Linked DNA regions of Nothobranchius furzeri. The protein of the gene in region 1 binds, or shares a complex with, the protein of each later gene. Links are inferred from orthologs where the notes say so. Each region holds a gene or a part of one and is shown on either strand. Other genes may lie near its edges. The genes, in order: sympk and ssu72.

What was found.
Region 2: the proteins of sympk (region 1) and ssu72 are in contact, whole or in part, in a crystal structure (PDB 4H3K), measured with the Homo sapiens proteins. The link is inferred for Nothobranchius furzeri from reciprocal best matches to the Homo sapiens genes SYMPK and SSU72. Residues at the interface, in NP_004810.2 of Homo sapiens: Val123, Lys127, Leu131, Gln135, Asp175, Asn176, Asp177, Gly178, Thr181, His182, Lys185, Glu188, Pro204, Arg205, Arg206, Gln207, Ser250, Ile251, Thr254, Thr255, Asn262, Ala290, Ser292, Gln293, Ser295, Ser296, Lys299, Asn300, Leu303, His304; in NP_054907.1 of Homo sapiens: Glu113, Tyr116, Asp117, Val120, Asn124, Glu127, Gln128, Glu129, Thr130, Cys131, Gln132, Pro133, His135, Asp167, Glu169, Asn170, Asp173, Gln177, Glu180, Thr186, Phe187, Leu188, His189, Thr190, Val191, Phe193.

What each region holds. Positions count from the first base shown.
Region 1 is NC_091747.1:24,055,953-24,067,409, forward strand, and holds the start of sympk (symplekin), read right to left. Parts: upstream 7,157-11,457; 5' UTR 7,028-7,156; intron 6,709-7,027; 5' UTR 6,643-6,708; coding exon 6,583-6,642; intron 5,581-6,582; coding exon 5,515-5,580; intron 3,773-5,514; coding exon 3,719-3,772; intron 3,541-3,718; coding exon 3,467-3,540; intron 3,371-3,466; coding exon 3,244-3,370; intron 3,160-3,243; coding exon 2,910-3,159; intron 2,814-2,909; coding exon 2,643-2,813; intron 2,352-2,642; coding exon 2,112-2,351; intron 2,005-2,111; coding exon 1,853-2,004; intron 1,767-1,852; coding exon 1,616-1,766; intron 1-1,615. Other genes in the region: solute carrier family 35 member F5, read left to right, coding at 8,353-8,487, 8,882-9,031, 9,474-9,536, 9,638-9,719, 11,182-11,372. UniProt on the Homo sapiens protein: Scaffold protein that functions as a component of a multimolecular complex involved in histone mRNA 3'-end processing. Specific component of the tight junction (TJ) plaque, but might not be an exclusively junctional component. May have a house-keeping rule.
Region 2 is NC_091743.1:46,312,700-46,324,109, reverse strand, and holds ssu72 (RNA polymerase II subunit A C-terminal domain phosphatase SSU72), read left to right. Parts: upstream 1-6,018; 5' UTR 6,019-6,173; coding exon 6,174-6,253; intron 6,254-6,876; coding exon 6,877-7,020; intron 7,021-8,238; coding exon 8,239-8,378; intron 8,379-8,485; coding exon 8,486-8,604; intron 8,605-8,698; coding exon 8,699-8,800; 3' UTR 8,801-8,842; downstream 8,843-11,410. Other genes in the region: fndc10 (fibronectin type III domain-containing protein 10), read left to right, coding at 1,129-1,983. UniProt on the Homo sapiens protein: Protein phosphatase that catalyzes the dephosphorylation of the C-terminal domain of RNA polymerase II. Plays a role in RNA processing and termination. Plays a role in pre-mRNA polyadenylation via its interaction with SYMPK.

The DNA.
Region 1 (11,457 bases):
TGAGGGCAAATTGTCTCCATCTGTGTGTGCGTGTCTCTCCCTGGTGGAGCTGACGGAGAAGTATAAATTAGGCTTTAAGCAGAATATTTAAACTTGAACTAAGATGCACTAAAATGCCAAATTATTGACTACATGTGTTTACAGCACAATGAGACACTCATTTATATACATACCTGCATACTCAGAGGGTGTGAAAAAGGTGACCCCCCCCCACGCCCCCCCCCCCCCCACACACACACACACACACACACCGTCTGTGGGGTTTGTAGTGGCTTGCTCTGACATTTATATTCTTCTTGTTGGAATAATTAAAATAAACTCAACAACATGATTTTTTGCTAGATGCGACCCTTTTTTCTACCATGAGGTTTAGCAGTCTCTGCTCAGAGAAAAGAAAAAAATATCCCTCACAACAATGATCAAGAATTATTAGGGATCATCAAATATTTTTTGAATTATTATGAGACTATTTCACACTCACAACACCAAACATGGACACATCTGAAAATATTCCAATATTCCAGAATACAGTAATCATCCCTAAAGGTAACGGTTTTGGGTCATAAGTGCAGCTGCTCTGATGAGTTTGTTGTGATTAAATGTTTAGAAAGAGCTGCAGCTGCAGGCAAACGTAACTTTATCTCAGCTTTTTGCTTGAATACTTTAATAAACCACAGCTAAGGGCAAAAGCTGATCCGACTCTTTAATGCAGCAGAAATGTTACAATATTACCTCCAGCGTCCTTAAATCTTCTGGTGCCCAGATCCATTTACTGGGGTTTGTTTTAAACGAGTAAGGCTGTAGCATGCTGGTGGCCACTTCTTACCAGAAATTATATTTATGTTACTAATATTACTGCCGGTGTTTACTCCCAACTCAACTCCCAAAACAAACAAAACAAAAAAAAAAAACACGACCAGCCTTGGGGAAAATCTAAAAAGGTAAATCTGCTAAAGTCCTCGACAGAAAACTGTTTTTCAGTGGTGATTTTGTTCCATTTGACAAATTTTATGCTCAAAACCGCTGTGAGAAGTTAGAGCAACAGCACTCATTGTGAGCGCCGCTCTGTCTCATCGGCTGCAGCATGCTGTCTGACTGCGATTGGTCAAATGATGACATGTGACTAACACACTAGAACAAAGATTGCTTGTGAACAAGAGGAGTCCCCTTTCTTTTCTATGATTGACTTTCAGAAGAGGGACTGAAACCCGACAGAAGACCCCTCCTCTCAAAAAAAAAAAAAACCCTTTGGATCTACACAATTCACGTGAACGCCACATTTGGATTCTAAAACGGTGATTTTTGCCAAAAAGCGACAAGTTTGCAGGTATGTATATGGTTTACCAGAAAAATAAAGTTGATTTGGGGGTGACTTGCTCTTTAAATAAGAGAGATTCTAGTTTTTTTTGGAATGATAACTAACTGTTGGGCTGCTGAGATCTAGAATTCAAGAACAGCAAATATGGAATATTCTAAATATTAAATGTCATTATTATGAACAATAATGGACCAGAACTGCAAACACATCCACCTCCTGTATAAATGTGGTTTTCACAGACTCTGGTTACCTACAGCTGCTTAAAGGAGTTTTCTGGTGCATAATTTTGTTGCTAACCTGGACCGATTCCAGCTGCTGTCATCTGCGTTGCCATCAGCCGAGCCAGATGTTTGATTTGAGCATCAGTGCCTGCTGACTCTACAGGTGTGTATGTGGCCTGGAAGGATGCTGGCATGACATCAGGCAGGTACACCATGCTAATGAGCACCTGATTGAGGAAGAATAAAGGGAGGAGCTGTGAGACAGGATAACAACGTGATGGAGAACAGACAGAAAAAGGCAGCGGTTGCTCACTAGGTTTGCTACATTCTCGGGGTTCAGCAGTGGGCGCAGAAACTCAGCTGTGAGGTCAATGGCAGACTGTGCAACTGGAACAGCAACTGGCTTTGAGACAGGGATGGGAGCTGGTTCTTCTTTGTCCTCGTCATCCTCAATGAGAGCTGGCTCTGAGTACAGACAGACAGTCCTCATGAAGAATGATGCAATCACAACTGTTCCAGTCAAATATTTTCTATTGACCTCCAAAAATTCAGTGTCTGTGGTTGTGACCCACCTATCTTGACCTTCTTTCCCTCTGTGTATTGTTCGTAACGAGGTCTTTTGCGCTGCTCCCGTGGTGTGGGCGTGCAGCGGGTTATTTCACTCTGAGGCATTCCTAAATCCAGCAGCAGAGTGCTGATCTGACCCTGGAACTCCAGGCTGCAGGGATGCTTGAGGACCGCCAACAACTGCAGCTTCAGATTCTTTCGAACGCTGCTGACTTGAGACTTGGCCAAAGTCGGAGGTAGATTAGCTAAAAAAAGAATAAATCGATTATATTCTGCAGTTTGATGATAAAAACATCCTCCACTATCGAGAACCTATTCAATTATATGTTGCGTCTGAAAACATCAGAGTTTAGGGCTGTTTTTATACCTGAAGGGTTTCATTGGTCAAAGGTAATGAAAATGACTGACTAAAGGAAACAAACTCCAAAGAAAAACTTCTGAGGTTTCCTCAGAAGAAAAATCTAAAGAAAAGGAGAACCCGATCATGTTTTCGTACAGATATCTAATCCTGGGAAGGATCTGGGAACCAGACTCACCGTGCAGCGTCTCAAACGCCTGGACCACTTTGGACATGAACATCGGTCTCCGTCGGGCGATTGTTGCCAGCGAGCCCAGCGCTGTGGTGAGGTTGATGCTGGAAATAGCTGGATGGATCATGAACGTCAGCAGCTTCTCAAGTGCAGTCTTCCCCTCCTCACACAAAGTATCTGTACATTTGATCACACAGCAAAAGACACTTTCAAAAGTGATCAAAATTGCTTTAAACATTACATTTTGTCTCAGTAAGATCCTAAGATGTGTACCGTAGCGAATGTAGGAATGGTCTTTGGGAACTCTGTCCAGGCTGATGCCCCCTTCCTGTTGCTTGGGGACGTCAGACTCAGCTGTTCGCGGTGACAAGGTGATGATTAAAGATTCTGTGAACTTGATTGCATGCGTGCGAACACCATCATTCTCAGAGTCGAGTAGGATCAAAACGTCCCCGGTCATTTGTGTAACCAAATTCCAGCATGCCTCCTGCATATCCGATATGGTTTTGACACGCACCAACCACTGGCGTGAAAGTCAAGAGGAAAGAAATCAGAATCTCGAGGATGTAAGGAGCGAGCTGGTGAATTCAGGGACAGGAACGCTGACCTGTAGCGTAACTTTGTACAGCTGAGTGAGGGTGAGGATGGCCTTCTTCACCACATTAACGCTCTCATCCTTCAGCAGCATGTTCAGGTTGGCGATCAGTCGGACCAGGAGCTCGTTGTCCCTTTTACTGGAAAAATCAGTAACAGGAAAAAAAGGTTGAGAAAGTTCTGCTTTTCTTTTGATCAATGTTAAGCTTGGACATGTTGGATGTTTCATTACTCACCAGGCCTCCTCTATAAACCCAATGACAAACTTTCTCACTTCAATAGACTTGTCGGTCTGGAAAGCGATGATCTCCTACAGTTTAAAACACGGGAATAAGAGTAAGTTAAAAAGACAATGTGTGCTGAAATATAACATGTTCTAATATCCAGAGACATGACAGCTTGGTTTTGAGACTCACTCAGGGAGAGTAAATAATCCTTTTTTTGTCTTGTTATATTTAATGAGGAATCCTAAATGTGCCCATACTTACATCCAAAAAATTATCAAGAAGAGAAGGATCCTTGTTGATGATAAGCTCCTGAACCTGAAATAAATTCATATTGTCAAAATTGTTTTACTCCAGCTTCTTTTTCTGAAGAGATCTTGATTAATAGATTATAATCCAGCACATATTGAGTAGAGCTGAGGAAAATAATCAAATAATCGATGCATCGGGATGCGGACATAAACGATTCTGCATCGTAGAAGAGTACGCCATAATCGATTATGGTGGAATGTAGTTTTGTTCTTTTAATGGCGGCACCAGCACAGATCCAAATCTGTCAGAGTGAGCGTCCTCCACATTTACCAAGTGGTTCCGCATTAATGTGGTACTGCAGGGCTGAGCGCTTGAGTTGTAACCTGAGACCGAACCGGAACCAAATCAGCCCGACCGGTTCTGTTGGATTTGGGCCGTGAAATATGTTAATTGAGCGGGTTGTCACGCGGCGCGCTCCGCTCTCTCAGCGACTGAGAGAGAGAGAGAGACTGTCCGCTCACACGAGAGGATCGGAGGACGCCCCTCCAAAGCGATGCTCCAAACACGCATTATTATTTTCATAATTTAATTTTTTTTCTCCTGGAAGCGCTCAGTCAGACCAAGTGTTGTAATGCTGGGAGATCCGGTCTCGGGGGAGGGGGCGGGGTCAATGACGGCGGCTGCAGCGTGATCGTCTGTCTCTTTTATTTAGGGACACGGAGAAGTTAAAAGGAGAGAGAAATAGAAGAAAGAAGTTCTTGTTCCACTTTATTCTTTTGTTTCATGATGATAAACTGATGTTAGCTTCAGCTTAAAGAGAAGCTGGGAGGAAGCTTTGGTTCATTTTAGGTTACAGGAGACTTGTCTCATATCTGCTCCTCCAGAGACAGCATGGACATGACGGTTACATGGTGAGGGTGACACAGGACAGGTTACTGGAAAGGTTTGTAGTTAGCTGGTTAGTGAAAGAGATCTATCAGCTGGGTATTTTAATCCTAATCCAGCCCACAGCCTTCTGCTGGTGTTATTATCAGGAAGAATAAAACACACATCTTAAATATTATTGGAAGTGTAGAATTTGTTTTATGTTTTATTATTTTCTGCATCAAACAGAACTTGATTCATTCTCCAACATTTCAGAAACGAACCACTGGGTTCAAATAAAATAAACTAAGTCAAACATTTCATTTGGTGTTATTTCTGACACCCTTCAACTGCAGCATAAATATTTGACTCTAGAGCTGCTCAGAGACATTAAACACTCATATATGAACCCATTATGGATTTTATTACTACATTATGTTGTGTCCTGTGGGTTTTCAGTACTTTTTTAGATTTTGTGAGATTTTGTAAAGCATGTTTTCTCAGCCTGAGGCGTGGTGTTGAACGAGGAAACAGATTGTTTTACTTTGTTAAATCTTCTTAAATGTTTTGTCCTAACCTGTTGTGAATGGAGAGATTTTGAGGGATGGCAGGTTGTATCAATTACGTTTTTGATTAAAAAAAAAGCAATTATCTGACATCTTCTATTTATCGATGAAAACAAATCAATATGAAATAATCGTGATGCATCGGGATATCGGATCGAATTGAATCGTTGACCCAATAATCGTAATCGAATCGGGAGACAAGTGAAGATTCACACCTCTAATATTGAGGGCCAGATTATATGTTGAGCATGTTAAAAGCAGGAGAAACCTTTAGAATACAGATTATTTATTCAAAATATCATAGATCTGGAATGTTCTAAGTTATTGTAATTTTTGTGTGTTTTAGTTGGTACTTGCAGCAATAATTAGACAGCAAACCTGTTTGAGAATTGTTAGCTTTTCATCAGTTGGCATCAGAGCAGCTTGATTCAGCAGCTCCACAACCTGAAAGGAAAAAGAAAACCCAGTGAATTTCTCTTTCAAAGCAGATTTACTTTTAAGTAAAAACACAACTGGTACACGACTAAAACAAATAACTGAGTTGTTATTATTAGAAAAGACAATTTTTGCAGTTTAACAAAAGTTGCCCCATACTCGGAGATATAGGTGACTTTACTGTGACATGGGTTAGTTGGAGTAAAACTGCTTTAATTTTCCATCCAAGTGACTATGATTCTGGTCATAGCCATTGGCTTTAAAGGCAATAATGAGACACTCAATCTTAAACCTCAGTCCACAGATGTGAGCCTCTGTTGAAGAACCTTCCTAAATGTTGGGGTCATCTACATCTACAATATGTATGTTAGAGTGAACTGACATTTATAGGCTCATTAAAAAGGAAATTCAATCAAAATCCCTAAAAATAATAGTTGTTTTTATTAATACAAACTGAGCTAGATGTATTTACCAGACCATAGCAGTTTATTTATAAAGTATATTTAGAAATAGCATGGCAGCTAACCAAAGTGCTGTACAGGAGAGCAAAACACTCTCACACACAACAACAAACAACTAGTTTGAACAACCAGTGACTGCTGGTTAAAGTCTGGTGTTATTGGAAATTATTCAACTCACAAATTTAAACTTTAAATTAAAAACAAAATGAAAAGATGAAATTCTTTTGGAGGAAAACACAGTATGTAAGATTCTGGAACCACATCACAGTCAGCATAACAGAAAGTTTTCTAAAGCCTCGACACCAACATGGAAACAGTAATTATTAGAAAATATATTAATTCATGTATATTTAACTTGTACATCCCATAATCTGAAGGGGGAAAATAATATAATTAAAATAATCTTATTGAATAATAAAAAAGACATTACAGACTATTAATCAAGACAGTGATCTCAGTGCTATGGTGTCCCTCTTTAAACTATGTTGCATGAAGAAATGTTCAGTGCCGTACCGGGGATGCTCTATTCGTGAGTGTTTGTCTAATTTACCTTTTCACTTGTGGTGATGTTGACGCTGGGAGTTCCCTCCTCCACTGAAGAAAGCTCCATGTTGCTGCTTTGTGTGTCTCACAGTCCTGACGGCAAGGTTTTAAAAACTCCAATAAACGTCAGATTCTAGAAACAAAATGTTTGCAATATTTACACTAAAACATGAATTAAGCTAAACCAATTACAGTGACGGTGAGAAGAAAACTTAGTTGTAAAACAATAAACGCTTCCCTCCCACCTACGCACATTAATAAGGCTTTAATTGACATTATTTCAACATTACTAGCTTCGTTCTGTGATGCTAGTCAGCGAGCACCTCCATGCTAACCGCATTGCTAACTTCAATAGCAGCTTTAACATTATTTGACAAACGTACGCCACTTAACAGACCTGTTTTTGTGTTCATGTAGAAATTATATATGTTCCGTAAGAGAAACGCACTTACTTAGTATATTTTCCATTACATAAATGGGAAAAACCTATTAGCGCGGAAAAGAAGCCGCTTTCTTCTTGTTCTTCTTCTTCGTACCCCTACTTCTTTTTCTAACCTCTTGGCGCACTGTCGCCACCTACAGTGAAAAGCATGCAAAAACAAAATATTAAATATTCAGTCAAATCTAAAAAGAAAAACAGGGAATTCATCTTCTGTTTTATTTTTATATTGCCTTTCTATTTTAAGCACAAATACTTGCTTGGTTTGACTTTAAAACTTGAATGTGTCCCTTTAAAAAGCCTCATAAGATTAACTAATGCTTAAAATCCCAGTCTCAACAATCTAGTGACACGAATCACCTTTAGATGTTATTAATAAAATTTCATTAGACCATCTTTTTATATTTAGAGCGGCACAAAGATCCCAAAGTTTTTTTCTTTTAAGACTTCAAATCCCAGAAATCTTTGCACAGTAAGTGATGTCACCTGACTGATAAGGGGTGGGTATGCTAATGTTTACAACCAAGATCTGACTACAGTTTCATTGCAACAACAGTGATTTCGTTTATATTGCACCATAATATGAACTGACAATCAAACAGTGGTAAAAAAAATAAATGACTACGTCACATTTTCAGGTAAGATCACATTTTCTTACGCTTTTAATCGCATAACTGCAACGAGCTTGTTAGCGCTTAGCTTGTGAAACAGGCAGCTAAACAGCGACTCTGTTTACATCCTTTTCCCAAACAAATGAGGTGGAAATGCGGCCAAAAGTTCAGTTTAAAAGTGAAGTTTAATTACAGACCTTGGGCATATATCTTATTCTTTTTAAACGATGGTAAGAGTTTGACAGCTAAGACGTGAAAACAGCAGTTTCTTTTAGAGCTTCCTGCTTGTTCGATGTAATTCCTCATTTAGTGTAATTAGTTTTTAGTCTGTCCTCTGAATGCTCTGGCTGTGATAAACAATGTTGTTGTATTTTCTATGCATTGCTGACAAAATCAGTTTATTTTAACAAACGTACACAATTTTCTGCATGAAAACCTAAATCATCACATTTTAAAACAAAACATTTCAACCTAATTAAGTTCTGCGTAAACTGTGTTCTTTATTCATTTAAGTTTGAGTCATATTAAAAATCAAAACATTTTCTAAGTATTTCAACTCATTTTTTAAGTTTTAGAGATTTGTTTCCAAATACAATTTTTAAAAACACATTTTAACAATTAAAATCTCTTTTATGTCAGGATCATAATATAAAATAAATATATGATTTATAAACATCAAAGAGAGGGAAGCCTTCCTGTTGACACCTGGATGTTTTTCAGCGTCCTGATGGAGTGGGTGTTCGTCATGAACCGGATGAGCTCTCAGAGCAGCTCTGCAGCACAGCGGAGGCGGATGGTCCTGGGGGTGGTGATCCTCCTGCTGGTGGATGTCATCTGGGTAGCATCCTCTGAGTTAACCTCTGTAAGGATTTTATCACAGCTTGTCCGGTTTTCACTCCTGCTGTTTTGGGTGGATTTCTTTACACATGTTCACAGTGATTGAGCAAAACAGTTTTGTGAAACTGCTTTTAAAGGCGGAGTCAAAAAAGTTAGTTGTAGCATCAGAAGTGAGATGTGGAGAGTATAAACCTGGCGTGGGAAAAGTGTCGGATTTCCAACAACATATAATTTTATGATTTTATGACTATTTTTTCTGATGTTAATCTTATTCTGTTTTCAGAGCATTTTGATTTTATGACTTTGTTTTGATCTATGTGAAGCACTTTGTGATTCTATGTCTGTGATAAGTGCTATATAAATAAAATGTACTTACTTACATAAAACAAATTATTTTGTTTCTCTGAATCTCCCTTTAGTACATCTTCAAGCGACAGGAATACAACAAACCCTTCTTCAGCACTTTCACCAAGACGTCCATGTTTGTGCTGTATCTGCTGGGGTTCCTGCTGTGGCGGCCCTGGAGGCAGCAGTGTACTGGCACGCTTAAACACAGACACTCTGCATTTGTAAGTTAAACCCTTTGGTGGATATTCCAGAAGGGTTCAAATGAAGGCAACTGGACTTCTTCAGTTTCATGAAGACGTTTTACTTCTCATCCGAGGAACTTTGTAATGAGAAGTGACAAACATCTTCGTGAAACCAAAGAAGTCAAGTTGCCTTCATTAGAACTCTTCTGGATTATCACGACCTGGATGACTGAGAAGCTTCACCAGCACACCTTTGATCGGAAGTGTTTTGGTTTTTGTGATATTGCCTTAGACTACAACAGTAATGTTTCATTGTTTGTATAAACCTGCACCAGGATAAAAAAATCACTTTCTTTTATGGTTACTGACTTTATTTTTCACACATCACACATTGATTCCTGTAGAATCCATTCTCCATCACACAAAGCCACAGAAGGAATTCTTGATTTTGTTGTAGAAGCTGATGCTATTTATCCTGTAGTTTGCAGATGCTGAGGCTTACTTTGCACCCTGCACCAACGACAACACTGTGAACAACTGTTTGGTATGTAGTTTAGAGAAAATTTTGAATAATTGTGCATTTAATGCCGAACTCCAAGTAGTCTTGGTATGCTTTGGAGCTGATTGTTCTTGTCATGGTTGCAGAGTGAACCCCTGTATGTCCCAGTGAAGTTCCAGGATGTACCCACTGATTTCTCTGATTGTTTAAATCGAGACTGTGAAACTTGTGAGTACAGACGCTAATTTAATTTTTTTATTATAAACAAGGTAACATAATTCATAGTCTCTTTTTTTAGATTTATTTATTTCTTCTTACTAAGGCTTTAAATAATAGAAAACGCTTGCATTTTAATGGGGCGTTTCTGAGGCTTTGAACATTTTTGAAATTGAAACAGAAAATTATTAGAGTAAATAGAATTTGCTCTGAGACGAGTGAAAAAGTTGCATATTTACATATTTAGAGTTCGTGTCACATCACTGCTGAAAAAATCATCCAGAAGTGAAAATATACAAGAAACCTGTGTTTATGAGAACATAATCAGAGTAAAGAGTAAACAACTCCATTTTTTTGTGTTCCTAAATCACCTTCACAAGTGGAGGTTTTAAATGCCGTTTACCCACGTGTGGATGAAAACTCTTGGTTTTTCTGAAATGACAACAAAGCTGCTGGCTGCACATTCATTGTTACTTCCTGCTGTAGAAATAACAAATAGTCATTTCTACCTGCTTTTGTGCTTCAGGCGCACTTTAACCCTTCCACTGTCTTAATGAGTGACCCCGCCAGCAAAGTTGACCACTCAGCAGGACTGATGGTTTATCCCTTGAGGTCCACATGGCAGGAATGAGGAGTGAGCACCACCTCACCCCTGCCACGTGGACCTCAAGGGATAAACCATCAGTCCTGCTGAGTGGTCAACTTTCCTGGCGGGGTCACTCATTAAGACAGTGGAAGGGTTAACCTGAACCTGTTGTCACAGAACATTGAATCTGTTTGAAATGGAGAAAATCTCAGCAGAAATATTCTTCCTCTGTTTGCTGATAGGTTGTTACTTCGGTTCAACTAGTGGTGCAGAGAGGACTTTTTAATTTATTTTATTATTTTTGTCAGGATGAAATTAAAATTACTTTTAAATGAGTCACATTTTTGGCTCCAGACAGGGGCTACCTCCCAAAACTCCTTCATGCACATTTATTTAATTCACAAATGCTGTAACGTGTGGTTTCCATTTACTGAGTTTTCTAAGTCCTTGTTGTTTTTAGTGCTTCTATTGTTATTTTTCACCTCTTGGCTCTGAGAGTGACTAGATCACTTTTCTACCGGTTTCTGCCTTTTGTTCTTTTGGGGTCATGCGAGTAAAACTGATGTTAAGATTTAATTAGAAATAGGGATGATTCTGTTCAGGTTTTACCAGCAGGGGGCAGGCATTAGTCAATCAAAATACACAAATAATTAAACTTTGTCCTCAGAACTACTCTTTAAATAATAAATCAATCAAAAATGAATGATAAATTATGATCTACATACTTGAACTCTGTTTTTGGAAATAAATGTAATTAGCTTCTAGCTTTAAACCCTTTAATCACCTGTGGAAGTGTCTCGCTGCACAGAAGCATTCACCTGATGCACACCATTCCAGTTTTCAGTTTTATGACATGAATTAACCCATTTTCTTTCCTTCCTCCCACAGCTGCCAAAAAGCAGCGAGTCCGTTTCAGTAACATCATGGAGGTGCGTCAGTTACCGTCCACTCAGGCCCTGGAAGCCAAACTGTCGCGGATGTCCTACCCAGCTGCCAAGGACCACGAGGCCACGCTGCGAACGGTGGGAAAGCTGACCATCACAGATGTGGCCAAAATCAGTTTCTTCTTCTGCTTTGTGGTGAGAAAACTGCAGCAGCAACTCCTGGCCCAAACCAGGACCTAACTTTAAGAGGCTGAGCAGACAGACGTGTCATCAGATTAAA
Region 2 (11,410 bases), on another chromosome or scaffold:
ACTGTTGACTGATGGAAATACACACCTGTACTGTTGACTGATGAAGATACACACCTGTACTGATGACTGATGGAGATACATACCTGTATTGTTGACTGATGGAGATACACACCTGTACTGTTGACTGATGAAGATACACACCTGTACTGATGACTGATGGAGATACACACCTGTACTGTTGACTGATGAAGACACACACCTGTACTGATGACTGATGGAGAAACACACCTGTACTGTTGACTGATGAAGACACACACCTGTACTGATGACTGATGGAGAAACACACCCATACTGATGACTGATGGAAATACACACCTGTACTGTTGACTGATGAAGATACATACCTGTACTGATGACTGATGAAGACACACACCTGTACTGATGACTGATGGAGATACACACCTGTACTGCTGACTGATGGAGATACACACCTGTACTGAAATCCATGGCACATGACAAACGAAGCCCTTTGACTTACATTCCTTTTTCCGTTTTTCCAGGGACCCATGGTCTGGAAGTGGGCACAGCTATGGCTCCCTATGTGGGAGAACCTGACCAGTTTAATACACTGTTATGAAGATTTTGAGACTGACATTTCAATCCAAGTTTGTCCTTCTTGTTTAGAGCTGATATCAATCTAGTCAGAATTGTTTCTCCAAACTGTGGTTGTTCATAACCACCTTGTGTTCCCTACTGGCTGACACCTGTAGCCCTGAGTGGGTCGATGACTCACTGACTGCTGATGACTACAAATATTTTGTGCGCGCTCCCCACGCTCCCATGCACTGCGCGCGCTCTCCCACGTGCACACTCATAGAGCACATCAAAGCTTTTTTACGTCAGGGCAGACAGGAAGAAGAAAGCACATCTGATGGATGGATAGTTGGGATCTCTGTCCTACAGAAATAGGTGAGTGATTAAATATGCCAGTGAGATGCGAGCGCGCGCCCAGGTTGTTAATTTAATCCTGCAGTTTTTTTTTTTATCCTCTGCAACATCTCTGCCTTAAACGCTGTCTGTGAATTGTTTCAAGGCCACAAGAAGAGCTGATCTCATGGCGGACATCAGCCTGTCTCGGTGTGCCATCGCCCATCTGATCCACTGTGAGTGAAAATAATCCGACCAGAGATGACCGAGCAGCACCGCACATCGCTGCTCGCCCTGTCGGTACTCCTGCTCTGGTGCACATCAGTACACCAGACAGGCAGCAGCTCATCATCTTCGTCCCCATCCAGGAAAACTGTCAACCAGCATCAACTCGCTGCATCAGCGAAGATTCAGGAGAACGCAGGTCACGTGATTAATTCTTCTCTCACGTCAGAGAGATCTGGACCGGGTCCAGATGAAGGGGTGTCACCGGTGTGTGCCTACAGGGTGATTGAGGGGGGGATTTGGGGACAGCTTTGTTTTCGACAGACGCTGTTTGGGTACAAGTGTCTCAAGGAGGACTGCAGGTCACAAGTGTCTTTGGGGAGTCTGGTGGCGAACATCCTCATCAACGGCAGCGTACTGTTACAGTGGAGCCACGGGGGGGACAAGAACCGGGACAAAAAGAATCTTAACGGGACAAACGCGACACGACTGCACGCTGTTTTCGGTGAACGGCGCCACCGGCGTGCAGGCTATGAGCTGAGTTGCTGGTGGAACGGGAGCTACACCCAGTTCGAGTGCGCGAGTGTCCATCTTGGATCTGGCTGCAGGGACTTCCTCCTGTCCGACCTGCACGAGAACATCCCATACCGAATCTGTCTGCGCTCCTCACCGGCCCGGTCCGACCCGGATCAGGGAGAGCCGCGAGACTGCGTGGAGTTCACGCTGCCGCCGTCCGGGATGCAGGACATTGTGATCGCCATGACAACGGTGGGAGGGGCTATATGCGTGATGCTGGTTATCATTTGTTTGCTGGTGGCATACATCACAGAAAATCTCATGAGTCCCACCGCGCAGCACGCGTACTCTTACCGTAGTCACACACGTCACTAATGCCAGAGAAGATCACGTAAACACGTGTCATTGTCAGCAGGATAGTATCCTGACGCACAATCTGTTCTGAAAAGAACAAGCCCCGCCCACCTCTGGCAGGGTGCACGAAACCAAAACAACTGTTATGATCTCTGGTCTTAGCAGGCCCATTAAACAGCAATACACTGACGGCCCCATGACATGGTTTTGGGTCTTGTGACAGAAATGGTTTTGTTGATGTCTCTGAGAGAATTCTTGTTGACATCCACAGGAACAACGTTCTGAATGAAACTTTTCACCCAATCATCAATGTCTGGTATTGCTTTTAGATCTGCATGTATTTGTATTTGTAAAGGGCAATACTAGTGTACAATCCTAATACTGTGCCAAGCATCATGAGCTAGATTTCTTTTGTCTTATTGACTAAAAATAAAAGAGGTCCCTTTTAATATTTTACAGCTGTTCTTATTGTTCTCTTTGTGAGAGAGTGATTCAGCTTTAGTTACATCCAGAGTGAGGTTTCTCACCAAGACCCAACGAAGAGGACGAAGGATGAGCACAAGATGCTGTGACATTTATGTTTGTGAGCATCAGATAACTAATGCTATTTAAACGTGCAGCTGCTAGAAGGAAACTTTGTAAATCAAAAGAAGTTAACGTCGTCGTCGTCCGCTAATCCGGGTCCGGGTCACGGGGGCAGCATCCCAGCAAGGGAACTCCAGACCGTCCTCTCCCAGCCCATCTCCACCAGCTCCTCCGGCAGGACCCCAAGGCGTTCCCGGACCAGATTGGAGATGTAACCTCTCCAACGTGTCCTGGGTCGACCCGGGTGCCTCCTGCCGGCAGGACATGCCCGAAACACCTCCCCAGGGAGGCGTCCAGGAGGCATCCTGACCAGATGCCCAAACCACCTCAACTGGCTCCTTTCGATCCGGAGGAGTGGCGGTTCTACTCTGAGTCCCTCCCGAATGTCTGAGCTCCTCACCCTATCTCTAAGGCTGAGCCCGGCCACCCGGTAAATCAAGAGCTTGGCTTTCTGGCTCAGCTCCCTCTTCACCACGACAGATCGACTCACCGTCCGCATCACTGCAGACGCCAAACCAATCCGCCTGTCGATCTCCCGGTCCCTCCTACCCTCACTCGTGAACAAGACTCTGAGATACTTAAACTCCTCCACTTGAGGTAGGATCTCTCTCCCTCTCTCAGCCACCCTTTTCCGGTCGAGAACCATGGTCTCAGATTTGGAGGTGCTGATCCTCATCCCAGCCGCTTCACACTCGGCCGCGAACCTACCCAGCAAGAGCTGAAGGTCAGAGCTGGATGAAGCTAGGAGGACCACATCATCTGCGATAAGCAGAGACGAGATTCTCCTGCCACCAAACTCGAAACACTCCACACCACGGCTGCGCCTAGAAATTCTGTCCATAAAGGTAATGAACAGAACCGGTGACAAAGGGCAGCACTGGCGGAGTCCAACCCTCACCGGCAACAGGTCCGACTCACTACCGGCTATGCGGACCAAACTCACGCTCCTCTGGTAAAGGGACTGAATGGCCCTTAACAGAAAGCCACCCATGCCATACTCCTGGAGCGTCCCCCACAGGGTGCCCCTGGGGACACGGTCATAAGCCTTCTCCAAATCCACAAAACAGATGTGGATTGGTTGGGCAAACTCCCATGCCCCCTCCATCACCCTTGCAAGGGTATAGAGCTGGTCCACAGTTCCACGGCCAGGACGAAAACCACATTGCTCCTCCTCAATCTGAGATTCAACTATCGATCGGACCCTCCTCTCCAGTACCTTGGAGTAGACCTTTCCAGGGAGGCTGAGGAGTGTGATCCCCCTATAGTTGGAACACACCCTCAGGTCACCCTTCTTAAAGATGGGGACCACCACCCCGGTCTGCCACTCGACAGGAACTGCCCCCGATAACCCCGCAATGTTGCAGAGACGTGTCAACCATGACAGCCCTACAACATCCATAGCTTTGAGATACCCAGGACGAATCTCATCCTCCCCCGGGGCTCCGCCGCGGTGTAGTTGTTTGACAAACTCAGCAACTTCTGCCCCCGAGATTGGACAGTTCATCCCCAGGTCTCCCGTCTCTGGTTCCTCCTCGGAATGCGCGTAGGTGGGAGGAGCTCCTCAAAGTATTCCTTCCACCGTCCGACTATAGCCCCAGTTGACATCAGCAGCTCTCCATCCCCACTGTAAACAGTGTGAGCGAGTTGCTGCCTCCCTCTCCTGAGGCGCCGAACAGTTCGCCAGAACCTTTTTGGAGCCGATTGATAGTCTTTCTCCATGGCCTCACCAAACTCTTCCCACGCACGAGATTTTGCCTTGGCAACTGCCACTACTGCTGAAGAAGTTAACATCCAGACAAAAATGTATTGAATGAATTTTATTCTTTTGAAATCCAATTTGTTTAAATAAAGAGGGTTAAACCTAAAATGAAGCCTATTTCTGCAGCCAGCCACTATGGGTCAGAGAGAGCCATGCAGGCAATAATGGTTTCATAGCATTTCTTGTCAGTTGTACCTAATCCATGTTATAAACATCAAACAAGGACCTATCACAGGGCCTGCAACTGCTGCTCTGAATCATGTGGTTCAAAACTTTGACTAAGTGACTTGAATCTGAGTGATGTTTACATTCAAACTGACAATAAAGGAAATTGTTGGCAATTATCCCAATAAAATGCTTTTTTTGCAACATTCATGAGCAGCAGCATGACACTGACAGCACTAGTGAATTGCTCTTGGCAATGCAGTTTTATTTTTAAATCAGAAATCAATTTTTTTTCACTGAAGTTCAGTAACGTCACGATAGCAAGTAGTTTTCTGACCCACAGGACTTATATTACAGTATATAGCACCAAATCATCTAAATTATACATTGCAATACAGTTCAGTTCATTAAGGCAATCAGTTGCATTGAGTCACTGACTCGTGTCAGTGTCTTTACAGAAATCCTCATACTAAGCAAACATGCAGCAACAGTGGAGAGAAAACTCCCTTTTAACAGGAAGAAACCAGAGGATCCTGGCTCAGTATAAGCAGCCATCCGCCAAGACTCACTGGGGATCGAGAAGACAGAGCAGACACACACACACACACACACACACACACACACACACACACGCACGCACACACACACACACACACACACACACACACACACACACACACACACGTAGGGAAATGTGTGCGTTGCCACAGTGAACTATGTGACGTTACCTGTAATGAAGTGACCACAAATGTAAAAAAATAAGAGAAGACACTATATACAACAGTAGTTCTTATGCAGACACATTATAGTGTCTGCATAAGAACTACTGTTGTATATAGTGTCTTACTATAACACTATTCACACACACACACACACACACACACACACACACACACACACACACACACACACACACACACACACACACACACACACACACACGCTCGCACACATATATGTGTGTGTGTGTGTGTGTGTGTGTGTGTGTGTGTGTGTGTGTGTGTGTGTGTGTGTGTGTGTGTGTGTGTGTGTGTGTGTGTGTGTGTGTGTGTGTGTTGTCTAATAGAAGCGCTGGGTGGTTCTTAAATAAAACAAATTTTACTCCACATTATCATTATTATTACTTTGTGAAAAGTTAATCCAAGTATTAAAAAACGTTTAAATATCATTTTCTAGTACTTCAAGTAGATTTCTAACATGCAAACCTCTGTTGCATACCTTCTGCAATAAACTGAAATGGAAGAAGCACTGCGACTGCTTTAAAGACATGAAATGTTTACCCTTAGCCTTTACTTTTTGTTTCTCTTTTATAAAATATTTGATCCTCATTTCATCCACTTAGGTCTGATAAAGGTGTGTAATTTGATTTGACTGAAAGTGACATGTTTGTGTATTGTTGATCAGGGCTTTATTAAATTATTACAAATTTTTTAAATCCAGTACTTCCTGTTTTACTGACTGCCCACACGAAAGCTCCGCCTACTGATGACATCATCCTAGAAAGCCCCCTTCCCGAACCGCTGTTCCGCCATTTTAACTTCCTGCCTGAGAAGAAGACGAACGTACTTCAGTGTTACATCTCTAGACGCAATTTAGGTTACCTTAGACAGGTGTTTATCTTGTATTTTACCCGCAGAAAGGCAACTAATAAATCCGTGTTAGTTTCTGAAGTGTTTGTGACCGTTTCAGCCGGAGAGTCGCAATGCCGAGCCACCCGCTGCGTGTAGCGGTTGTGTGCTCGAGCAACCAGAACCGCAGTATGGAAGCGCACAATATCCTCAGGTAAAGACGAGCCACCGGGGAGATGACAGCAGCAAAGCCACCACGAAGAGAACGACATGTATTTTCCTCTGCCGGTCACAAGCTGTACCGGCGGCACCATGACAGGCCTAACGCAGTTTAACAATGGACACACACTTCTCCGAGTGCCCCACCGGGGATGTAGCTCACCCCAAAACACTGCTTTGACTGGGTTTGAGGGCTTGTCTAAATTAGTCAACTACACAGGTTTTAGTGTCCGTTACAGTTTCAGAGATTTCTTTTAAAAAATCGCTTTAGTTTTTTACCTACATGTGGACAACAGCGCCCCCTGGAGGGGAACATTCCGGAAGAAGACTACAGTTGTGCAACACAAGTTGATGTTCAGTCACGTGATTCGATGCTTTAAGATTGAGAAGGATTTTTTTAAATGAAGGGCGTTTTCTTGTTCAGATTAATTCAGCTCCGAAGTTCTCATGGAACATTTTTAGCTGAGTTAATAAATCATTTAGTTACTCTAAACAGCACAGATGGAAGAAACTGACCCAAAATTTACAGAAATCCTGACTTTGCAGCTTAAAGATTTACATCCTGCTGTCTTATGTTACTTTCTCACACCCTTAACTCTTGTCCTTCTCTTTCTGCAGCAAGCGTGGATTTGACGTGCGATCGTTTGGGACGGGGTCTCACGTGAAGCTACCCGGTCCCTCCCCGGATAAACCCAATGTGTACGACTTCAAAACTACTTATGAACAGATGTACAACGACTTGGTCCGCAAGGACAAGGAACTGTATCCCCTTGACACTCACCCTTTTCCCCCCTCACACATAACTAAACATGACTTGTGTAACATGTGATGTAGGTGGTGGTCTTGGGACAGCACATGCGATGGGAGGTCACCGGTGGGTAAATGACATGCTGGAACTAAGAACAGTTGGTTGCATGGTTATTAAATGAGGTAGGGTCTGGCTCCAATACAGTAATGAGCTGTTAGACTAGCATCTACGGTGAGAGGATCGCACTGAAATCCGCTGGTGTGAATCCACTTTGTTCACATGTATCTGGCTGTGTTTTTATCCCTGTTCTTTGCTCTTTTCTGTCATCTGCACTAGTCAGCATCAGCTGGAGTCTATCCAGTAAAATCTGGAGGAGGGGTCAGGAAAACAGGGGGGGGGATGAGCTTTAAAATGACCTACATGGGGAAATTATCCTGCCACAAGCCAAAAATAATAACAGGAGCAACAGATGAGTCAAGTGTTCTATAATATTTAAGCCTTTTAAATTGGGGTTGAACACAAACTGGTCTGAATATGTGTTAAAGTCTCAAGAGTAATCTGAGTAGAATAAAGACTTGAGTGTTTATCACTACTAGTTATTTATATTAGTACCTTTCATAGTTCAACTGGGGTCTCCACTAACAAGATGTAAAATACATTTTTCTAGTTAATTTTGTTTTAAAAACTTATTTTATTAGACTCAATATTTATGTGCAGAGGCCTTTTGTGAGCTTAAGAGACCTGAAGGCGTCACATATGTGCTTAATCTACTTGCATCTTCAGTGGTGAGGGTGTGCTTTCAGGTAGCTTGTGGTAAGTTTGGCTCAAATCTTTTTTTTTTTCCTACATTCTTTGTAAATCCCAACATGTCCCAATAGAAAATACGGTTTTGCCCCTTTTGTGGTGGATAAGACCGCTGGCATTGAAAACAAAGTGAAATTAGAATAAAAAATGTTATAACTGATAGTATCAGTGTGGCCTTTGAACATTTGGGTATTAAAAATGCCTCAGCAGTTCGCTTGCTGTCTTCCAGAAATGATCTAGTTATTTAATTGACTTCTTACTGGTGTCACCACTAGAGGGTGCTACAGTGCGAGTCCCTCACACACCATTTAAAACACTGAGTAGGCTGAGAAAGCACCTGTTTACTGTCATCTTATATTTAATAGTGTGACAGTTTGCCTGTATTGCTGCAGTTCCTGCTGCTGTGTTCCTTGACCTTTACTCATCAGCTACACACAGAATGGCATCCTGCACATGCTGGACCGCAACAAACGCATCAAAACCAAACCAGAGCGCTTTCAGCTATGCAAAGACAAGTTTGACCTGGTCGTCACCTGTGAAGAGAGGGTCTATGACCAGGTGTTGGAGGGTGAGGATTTTCATGGGAAAAGCCTGATTTTGTCTTTTGCTGCTCTCAGAAGTTGTTTTTTTATTACAGAAAATTACATGTTAATGTTTTTCTTTTTTTCGTTCTAGATTTGAACTCAAGGGAGCAGGAGACGTTGCAGCCCGTGCATGTAATCAATGTAGACATCCAGGACAACCATGAAGAAGCCACGTTAGGTGCATTTCTCATCTGTGAGCTGTGTCAGTGTGTAAGTTATTTTAGATTTTTTTTTTATGAAGTGACCGTTAAGTGTGTGTTATGTACAAGTTGTGTTGATGACGCGTCTGTCATCATCCCTGCAGATCCAGCACACCGACGATATGGAAAATGAAATCGATGAGCTCGTACAGGAGTTTGAGGAGAAGAGCAACCGGCCCTTTCTTCACACTGTTTGCTTCTACTGATACACTTTAGAAATTTGCAATAAAACACACACTTGGATCCCAGTCAAACAGAATATGTACAGACAGTTACATGTATGACAGTGTAAAGGCACTGTGCATCTGCACACACACACACACACACACACACACAGCTCTGCTTCAGGATCTGTTAGACTTATAAAGGTTGGTAATTTCCTCTGTGCAGAGGATGGACTTGCTGCTCTCCTTATGCCTTCATTCCTCCAGACTGAGCTTTGGTAAAGGTTCTGCCCCTGATCTCGGTCAAATCAAATCACTGAACCATGTCCCCTCAGGAGAGCCATAACACACACACACACACACAGTTTTAGCAGGTTCTCTGCAAGTCCTCTTCATTCTAAGTGGCATAATTGTGCTGATTGCGGATGGCTTTTCATCTTAATCAGTACTGTAAATTTTTCAAGATGAGAGGTTTTTAAGTTGGGCCATACTAGATGTGTTTACATGCAGGAGACATGGTAACTGAATTGTATTTTTGTTCACGTTGTGTTATAGATGCGTTATGATTAAGTTAAGGTGGGCTGATGAACAACCAAACCAAGACCTTCTCTAGTATGGACCCGTTATAATATGCTGATTTCATATTTAAGCTCTCAAATGCATTGTTTTTTTCCCCCCTCCAGAGCATAGCTTGTTTTTCCTTTTGTAAATGTAAAGAATTTAAGCTTTGTAATTATTTTCAAATGGCAAGTTCAGCTCTGAGTGCCTGATTTTTCTGTATGTATATATGAGTCAACTAAAGAAAGTGACATCTAGACGTTTCGGCGACTCCTGGTTTTGTATTCTCTTATTCAGTCTGAACTTTTGAAAAATATGCGTATTTAGAATCTGGGGCAACTTATTAGCTGTGAATAACTTTAGTTAATCTACAAACTGTTAGGAAGGCACGTGTTTGTGTTAGTTTTGGATGTAGTTTAGAGAATGTGGAATACACTAATGTGGAATAAGTGGATCTAGGTTTAAAAAAAGGCAATTTCTTAAACTGAAATAAGATTTTAAACACTGACCTAAATCCTTTGAGAAAATGGTTGAAAAGTGTTGCAAAAAATCTCTTGAAACTGGAGCACTCGGGCCTTAAAGGGGTACGTCTCTAAAGACAAATAAAGTTTTAACATTTGAATTGTAGTTCTGTGTTTTCAATGAGGGTTTTCATCACTAAACAAATAAAAATATCTAGAAGCAGACAAGTGAAAACCAGCAAACCACTTAGTTTGTATAAAATATAAAACTTGCATTAAGCCTCTTAGAAATGAAGATTTTCAAATACTGTAAATTTAATACGCAGCGAATTTCCCTCCGCGGTAAATAGATCGGACCGGAAGTGACGTCACTGCGGAACTATTTTCTGTGAAAAAGTAACTGATATATTTAATACGAGGTTCACGTCCTCGCCCCCATGTGGGAACAGCAAACCCCTAGAGGTCATTAGTAAATACCAGTAACCTTTTGTTGTGTCAAACTGGGATTTTTCCATCAGACATGAACGCGTTCCTCATCTGACCCTTCCGCTGGTGAGAGGAGGGGAGAGGATCACATCTGTCGATGCAGATGTGTAAGATAAAGTATGCAGCTTGTTCCAGCGAAGAAAGTTTAGTGTTTTCTACGAACTGCTTAAACTGACAGTTTCATTGGAAAGACTTTAAAGTTTTCATTAAGGGATGCAAAACGGCCCCTTGTGCGAGTATTTTAAACGATTTTATTTTGTAACTGTATGAAAATGGTAAATGCGTGTAAAGCTGCAGGATTAACTTAATGGTCGATGACGACAGTTATCAGTTTAATCAATGTTTTATTTTTACTTTAGTTTACAATTTCCTTCTGAAGTTCACCAGTTTAGTTATTTATATTCATATCAGTACCTTTTTAATACACTGATTGATTATTGCATTGTCGGCTATGATGAATTCCGTCAGATTATCTTTTCTCAACTATTTTCTAATTTCTCCTGTTTCCCATGTCATAACAACACCCACCGAGCGAAAACGCACACATTTTCAAACGTTTTGCTGTTGATTCCTGGATCAGTGTCAATAAGTCCATCCCTGTGTGTGTTCAAGTTTCAACTTTGTGTTAAATCAAGTACAGAGTAGACAGAATGCTATGAAATGCCTCTTGCCCTGGCGCTCACTCATTAAAACAAAAATACATTTGGAAAACGATGACATCAGCAGATGATGATGTGCTCTCCTAAGGGGAGGTGGGAGATTCGTGACACCTGATGCTTTCCTCCTGCAGCGGTGGGTGTAGGCGTCCTGCAGCTGGGGTAGTGGTGTACAGATACCTCGGGACAGCTTTAACGGTCCTTGTGATCATGTGCTGTGATGTTCCTACACCAACAGGCTGTCGGACACCTCAGAAAGTAAAGTGGCTGCAGCTCTTTATCACAGAATCTGTGTGCAGACGATCATGAGAGGGAGTCACAGATGACCCAAACATTCAAGTGTGCATACAGAGCTACAGAGGGGTGGAGGATGCCAAAGTTACTTAAATCTCCTCTATAGTCATCTGAAGGTCCGCGCGCGCGCACACACACACACACGCACACACACTGCTCCTGCGTTTAGATTTTCTTCTGCTTTTTGAACTAGTAGT